Medicago truncatula: one gene and its partner. The protein of the gene in region 1 interacts with the protein of each later gene in a pairwise test. Links are inferred from orthologs where the notes say so. Each region holds a gene or a part of one and is shown in the gene's direction. Other genes may lie near its edges.

Region 1 (3,929 bases):
AGGTTCGACAGTGAACTCACTGGTATCCCCTGCAAATGTGGTGAACTTAGGGATTTTATAACCCCTAAGAAGTTCATATTGTAATATCAATTCCGACAAAGGAGAAACAAATTTTGGCCTATGCAGGCCAATATTTAAACCATTTTGAGCCATTATATTTTCGACCAAATTGGCTATATTGTTATGTACTCCTATGTTTTGTTGTTGGACATTTCTAACAACTTCATCGACATTATTATTTCTATCAACCAAGATCACTTCAGGTTGACCTTGTATTATTGGTTCGACCGGTTGGGGCTGAGGCACAAGTTGTTGCCTCTGAACCATCGGTTCAACTAACCGCAACAGTTGTTGATTTTGTATTTGTGAACCGGTTGGTAAACTGATTGCGGGGGTGCAAAGAAATATGCTATTCTCCTCATTTGTGTGGTTAAGGCTTGGTAACTCCGGTTTGTGTCCCTTATCAAAGGATTAAACACGGTACCAATTTGTTGTGTTAACGAATTAACCATTTCGTGGTTACTCTCATCCATTTGTTGTCTTAACAAATTCATCGAATCTGTTGTCAACCGTGGTAGAGTATTCCGACCGAAAATGCTAGAACTTGAGGGACTATGTACGTTGTGCATTGTGAACGTAGTAGGCTCCTCACTATTGCCTTTGCTCCTATCCTTGGAAGAAGTTTTGAAAGCAAAAGCTTTATTCTCTCCACCAGCGGGAACCTTCCGAGGCTGTGGAGGTAGGTCAGAAGTAAACTTTTCAGTGACCTTGGCACCGTGCAAAAATAAAAAAAATCTTGCGACTTGAAAAACATGATTAAAAACTTCTTTATCGTCTACAAGAAAAAAATCTTGCGACTTGAAAAACATGATTAAAAACATGATATCTAACTTTCCATATATTTTACATTTCATAAACACTTTCCAAAAATTTTAAAATTTATTTTATGAGTTTAACTCACAAAAAATAAAATTCAAATTGCAAAATATATTTTTGGAATTAAAAAACGAGTAAAATTTGAATATGTAAAAAAATAAAAATTCCAAAATTTATTTATTTTAATAATTAATTAATTAATAATAATGTTGAGATATTACAATTTACAATACAATTGTTGGGAAGAAGTGAAGTGGTTGTGGATAATGATGTTGATAACCGTAAAACAAGCTTCCCCTTCTCCCCGGTGGTGTGTTCGGCTTAATAATCGTCCTCTGATACCAAAACCATCTTCTTCTTCTTCTTCTTCTTCTATTTGCAGAGCCACTCTCTCTGTCCGGAGAATATCTACCACTCAACCTCATCTCTCTACCAGGTAAAATCAAATCTGTCTGTTTGTATATTTTTATTGATCATCCATTTTTGCCTCATTTTCAAATGGATTGTATGCAGCTGTGACGTAGCGAATTTCGACCCGTTAGGTATTAACTCTTCTTCTTCTTCTTCTTCTACATGGAAAAATATTGTGAGTTTGTTTGAGAGCTCAGAAAAACCTCGAGGAGGAGGAGTAGCAGCAGCAATAGAGGATAGTTCAATTGATTTTGGTGACTTCTTCAAAGGTCCTCTGCCAGGGAAGTTTCTTAAGCTTTTAGGGTTTCTTGCATTGTCAAGGCTTGGTGTGTATATACCTCTAGGTGGAGTTAACAGAGAGGCTTTTCTTGGAAATTTGGATCAAAATAGTTTGTTAAGCACTCTAGACTCCTTTTCTGGTGGTGGTATTGGTAGACTTGGTATATGCTCTCTTGGTATTGTTCCTTTCATCAATGCACAAATTGTTTTTCAGCTTCTTGCTCAAGTATATCCTAAGTTGCAAGATCTTCAGAAAAGAGAAGGTGAGGCTGGAAGAAAGAAAATTCTTCAGTACACTCGATATGCTTCTGTTGGATTCGCCATTGTACAGGTCAGAAATTTACATTGCAAACTTTGTTATATCGAAAAAGTGTCAATCAATGACATAAATCAAAACATCTTGTATTGAGATATTATCCCTTTCTTCACGAATTCAAATAGTCAAGTGAAAAATGTATTCTCTAGGTCACGAATAAGCCTTTGAATTAGTTATACTAGTAGTAACTTAGATGCTCTAATTTGAGGATGACTGTTTGAAAGAATGAAAACAGGGTAGGGTAACAATAAATTGATTCTTTGTTGTATTTTCTATATTACTTTGTAGAGGAGGGATATACTGATTCCAAGAGTAAGTTTTAAAGTTACTCCAAATCTTAGTCCTCGATTAATTAATGGTTGTGATCAATTACTACCGATCCCTATCATAATACTTTTTCTACTCCTATGTTAAAGCCAGGAATTTTATAGAGTCTGGGCAAAAATTAGAGTGAAGAATTCTTGTGCGCGCGCATGTGAAAATATTGAGTTTGCCCAAACAAAAAAAAGTTTTAGTGGGTTAATGGACTATTGGGTTGGTTGGGCGTAATATGAAAAAAGTAACGATTGAGCCCGGGCGAGTGCCCGAGCTCGCCGGGTGGTGGCTCCGCCCCTGGGTTGTGATCAATTACTACTGATCCCTATCATAAGACTTTTTCTATTCGTTCTTCTTAAACAACCCATGAGACTACACTGGTGAAACGAAAATCTAAAATAAATGGCCTATTCGTGCCACAATGTTGTGTGCCTTGGACAATATCATCTCAGCAAGAAGATTTTTTTTTATTGAATTTGATAAAAGAATATGCCGTTAATTGAATGTATTTTTTTTTACTTCTCTATTCACGGAGATAATTTAAACCTAATTAGAAAATTTGATATGCAAGAAATTATTGAATGATTCGTAAAGGTATCACACCGAATTATATGAGTCCTTCAAATAGCCCTTTGAGGTTGACGGCATATATGCAGGTTCATAAGTGTGGATCTCTTATTCTTTGAGGTTCATAGGTCTCAGTACCTTCATTATTTCAAAGTTTTTTGTTGAGATAATGAATGAAAAATTGTTCTTGTTGAGATAATGTTAAAAGGCATACACTATTTAGTTGAAATTTTCGTCTCACCAATGCTAGGACATTAAGGAAGAAGGAGTAGGAAAAGCTTTATGTTAGGGATTAGTAGTAATCAATCATAACCATTAATTAATTTTGAAATCAAGGGCTAAGATTTAGAGTAACTTTAAAGACTTACTCTTGGAGTCGATATATCCCTCCTCTATTTTGTAATTGCTGCGTTTAGGTTCTTCAAAAAAATAATTTACCGCATTTAGGGAAACTATTAATTGTCCTATTAATGACTCTTGGTTATATAATATCCATCAATATGTAGTTTAGACGCACAAATTCACTTGTATGCTTTCAAGATCTCATTTTTCTTGGGAAGTGTAAATGAGGGAAAACAACACTTGACTGCAGCTCGACCACTGATCGTTTTTTGAACATCCATGCTTTTTGATAGCTAGGTCCAGCACTTACATCACACTTATTACTAATTGTTGTTTTCAGTTTATAATTTTGTTTTTGTTCTTCAATTTTCATTACAGGCGATTGGCCAAGTTCTTTTCCTGCGTCCCTATGTAAATGACTTTACAACAGAGTGGGCTCTTACTTCTGTTATCTTATTGACACTTGGCTCCGTGATTACAACGTACATTGGGGAGCAAATTACTGACCTGAAACTTGGGAATGGAACCTCTCTTTTGATATTCACAAACATTATCTCTTACTTGCCAGCTTCGTTTGGTCGGACATTTGCACAAGCATTTAATGATGCCAACTATGTCGGACTTGTTACCATCATCGTGTCCTTCTTTCTGTTGGTAGTTGGAATTGTCTATGTGCAGGTAAATCTCATTTCAATTGTTAAATAATAAAGAAGTATTTGAACAAACTGAGAGATGTTGATTGCAACACTGATGATTCTCAGGAAGCAGAGAGAAAAATTCCTATTAACTACGCGTCTAGATTCACCAGCAAAAGCGGTGGACT
Region 2 (3,929 bases), on another chromosome or scaffold:
TGCTCCTCTATTATCCTTGCGTTTCTCTCCTTTTCCAAAGTGATAGAATGACAAACAATGTCAATGTGACTGATTCCTCTTTATTTAGTTTTTTGAAAGTGACATTTTGCTAGACGAATTGTATGCTCGGCAAGAGAATTGTGATTTTTTTACCTTGAAATCTTTAGCAGCTCATTCACATGAGTCACTAATCTGTCAGAATTCACTATGAGAATTGGAATACATCACATTGAATGGTGCCCCGTTTCAAGACTCCAATCTTAGTGACAATCGTCGGGAGTGTGCTTTCTGCTCGCCTAGCGAATTGCATGAACTCGATCTTCTTGTCCTTTTTGCTTGGATCTTTATTCATGTTTCTTTAATACTAAAAAAATGCATTTGAACAAGATCATAGTACATGAATTTCCACTCATGATCTAGCTATCTAATATTCAGACTAAATTGAAGGATTATCATCAGGTTCCTTGCATAACAAGTCAATAACTGTCATAATTTATATAGATAAAATTAAGTAATTTGAAACTTTTCAAGCATCGTGGGGCGTTTTGACCATCTTACTGATACATGTATTGTGAATAGACTATCCTCTTCGACATGCTGGCTTCTCGGCTTGCATTAACTTAGTAAAATTAATCAAAATGTTGGAGTAGATGTTGTTAGATTACACGAGTCAAGTCTTGCATACCATGTTTATTGTCGTCTTGCGTTAATCTTAGCGCACTTGTTTGTTAATATGTTGATTGTTGTTAGGATGATTGCCACTTATATTTAAGATATTTATTTCATTCAATTATATTCTTGAAATAATTAGTCACTTTGTATGTTTTTCTTATGAGTATTTGTTTAATTTTTTGTGTAGGTAATGAGATGGTGTTGCTTAAAGAGAAGATTGACGTCTTCGTGACCTTAGTTGATTTGGACAACGCATAATATAAAGAGCAGAGTGAAGACGGAGCGAAGGAGTTATCAACATTATGCCATCACAATATACTTAAATTTAATTTAGTTACGAATAAGTCAAACACTTATGCGATTGACATTTAAATTTTTATTTAGAGTAGCTCAATACAATGTGACAAACTATCTGGAGTTGTTTTCGTTGAGATTTTATTATTTTCCATAATTTGATTTATGTTATGCCACAAGTTTACAATGTAATGTTTTCTATGTATGTGAATATTTTTAAAATAAAAAATTATCTAAAATTGAAGTCATCGTTCTTTAATTGAACACCGTTTCCTTCCATTTTTTTTTTTTTTGACTAAAAATTGCAAGAGCAAATAACATTTTTTTTGACTAAAAATTGCAAGAAGCAAATAACCACCGGTAATAATATGTAATGACGTGTCACACAGTCGCTGGCTGAAAATCTTCCACTACCCATATCGTGCAGTTGTCTCTACCTCGCAAAACAAAATGCATTTCATTCGGATAATAGCAAAAAAATATCCTCTCATCTCTTTTCTCTATTCTGTGACGAGAAGCTGAAGCCTTCGCCCTTCAAGCCTCTCTCTATCACCCTTCTCATCATCCATGGCGAAGACACTGATTTCATCTCCATCATTCATCGGAACTCCACTTCCTTCACTTCACCGCAACTTCTCCCCTAACCGCACCAGACTATACACCAAAGTTCACTTCAGTTTCCACCAAATTCCTCCAATTCAATCCTTAACTCATTCTATTGATGTTGCCGGTGTCTTCGCCAGAGCTGAAGGCCTTCTTTATACGCTTGCTGATGCCGCCGTTACGGCCGATGCGGTTACTTCCACTTCCACGGATGTTACTGTGCAGAAGAACGGAGGTTGGTTTGGTTTCATCTCCGATGGTATGGAGTTTGTTCTTAAGGTAATCTTCACAACTTCTGCTTTTTAATTTTATCAATTATCTTTCTTAATATTCGTAATTTAACTAATTTTTGTTTATAATTCATTCCAAAGAAAATATATGAAATAAAATCAAACCGAACTTATGAAAATAAGTTGAAAACAGTTTGGGAGATGTAATAATTTGTTTCTATGAGATCTTCCAAACAGTCTCATAAGTGATTATACCAATAAATAAGCTCAAATAAGTCAATCCAAACATGACCTTACTATAAAAGGATTTGTTGCTCTTTGATTCATGAAACTTGTATTATTGAGGTTGTTGAGTTTTTTTAGAAGATTGAACCGTTTTTTCTTATCCTGAAATGATATGTTGCAGGGAAAGTGTTCAGTGTTACTAACTTACTGTTTACTTTTTCTGTTAATTTGATTGAACAAGTTAAACTTGTGTATTTTTTTTAGGTTATATGGAAATGTATACGTATAAATGGAAAGAGTAATGCTATTTGTTTCGAATGGTTTTCTAGTTTCAATGGACTTGGCCCTTACCCTTTTGCTTTAGAGTTATCATGTAAAATAGCCATAAAAAGGAAAAAAAATCTACCTACAAATGTTCCACGTTCCTGTAATAAAATTGGAGGATTGCATTTTATAACAGGAAATGTTTTGCTTGTTGTTACTCAGATATTAAAGGATGGTTTGTCTGCCGTGCATGTGCCTTATTCGTATGGATTTGCTATCATATTGCTCACTCTTATTGTTAAGGCGGCTACGCTTCCTTTGACAAAGCAACAGGTTAGTACAAATTACAACAATTTCTATAGGCAAATTTACTGAAACCATGAAATTATGATAACCTCGTTTGAAACATTACAAACAAACCATAAATGGATTGCCAGTTGGAAAAAAAAAAAACCATAAATGGATTTTTCTTTCAGTTATATGAAATGAAGTTCTGACTTTATTTAATACATGTAGGTTGAATCAACACTAGCTATGCAAAACCTTCAACCTAAAATTAAGGCCATTCAACAAAGATATGCTGGTAATCAGGTGAGGGGTGTTGCTGTTTGTTACTTATTAAGCATCCAATTTAATCTTAAGTAAATATTGATTTTGTACCTTAAAATGATAGCATGGTTGTTTCTAACTACTTATTTCATTGCCCTCATTTCAAGGAAAGAATACAACTTGAGACTTCAAGGCTATATACCCAAGCTGGGGTTAACCCATTGGCAGGTACACTTATATCTTACTATTGCCTTTATCATTTTCTTCTCAGCTCTGATTCTGTATAATAATGCTTTGACATGTGATAATATGATGTCAAAATATTTGCAATATCATAACTGGGCTGTACTTAATAGAAGGAAATTTTATCATTTTTTATAGGTTGTTTACCGACTTTGGCTACTATTCCCGTCTGGATTGGTCTATACCAAGCTTTATCTAATGTGGCAAATGAGGTAATTAATGGTATATAAACTATTATAATTTTAGATTTTGATAGACGAATTACAACTACATGATTTTTGCTAATTATTGAAAACTTTTAATTTGAAGGGACTGTTAACAGAAGGTTTCTTATGGATCCCTTCTCTCGGTGGTCCCACTAGCATTGCTGCTAGACAAAGTGGATCTGGAATTTCTTGGCTTTTTCCATTTGTGGTAAGTTATCCTTTGCTCATAAGCGAAATAATTTTTTTGCATTTGGCTATTTCTTTTTCCTTGTACTTGTGAGTCTGTGACACAAACACTATGATTTTCAGACATCACACTATTTACTCTTAACAATAATTTTTTTTGGAGCTTATTCCCAGTCATGGTTCCTGAAACAATAAAATTCTAAATTGTATGTCGTACAATACAATTGCTGATAAAAATTCTTTTCATAGTTAGTAATGTAGCAATTTGTGTAGGCTCTGCTTGTGAAAATATATGCAAGGTCCCTTTTTATAAGTTATGCATATGCACTATTGTCCCAGTTAGTCTTAGATTTCAGTAAATACGAGACATGGTTTATGCAGCATGGGTGCCAGTTGGATTAAATAGTATATAACATGCAGCACATTTAGTGATGCAGATTCTTTTAGTAGTTTGGAA

The links.
Region 2: the proteins of preprotein translocase subunit SECY, chloroplastic (region 1) and inner membrane protein PPF-1, chloroplastic interact in binary tests that used the Arabidopsis thaliana proteins (3 or more experiments, as listed by UniProt). The link is inferred for Medicago truncatula from reciprocal best matches to the Arabidopsis thaliana genes SCY1 and ALB3.

Annotation. Positions count from the first base shown.
Region 1 is NC_053043.1:26,124,600-26,128,528, reverse strand, and holds the start of preprotein translocase subunit SECY, chloroplastic, read left to right. Parts: upstream 1-1,104; 5' UTR 1,105-1,142; coding exon 1,143-1,312; intron 1,313-1,389; coding exon 1,390-1,897; intron 1,898-3,484; coding exon 3,485-3,784; intron 3,785-3,867; coding exon 3,868-3,929. UniProt on the Arabidopsis thaliana protein: Involved in protein export. Probably interacts with other proteins to allow the translocation of proteins across the chloroplast thylakoid membranes. Required for normal greening during embryogenesis. Central subunit of the protein translocation channel SecYE.
Region 2 is NC_053045.1:31,731,082-31,735,010, reverse strand, and holds the start of inner membrane protein PPF-1, chloroplastic, read left to right. Parts: upstream 1-1,406; 5' UTR 1,407-1,533; coding exon 1,534-1,848; intron 1,849-2,510; coding exon 2,511-2,621; intron 2,622-2,804; coding exon 2,805-2,879; intron 2,880-3,004; coding exon 3,005-3,065; intron 3,066-3,218; coding exon 3,219-3,292; intron 3,293-3,389; coding exon 3,390-3,494; intron 3,495-3,929. UniProt on the Arabidopsis thaliana protein: Required for the insertion of some light harvesting chlorophyll-binding proteins (LHCP) into the chloroplast thylakoid membrane.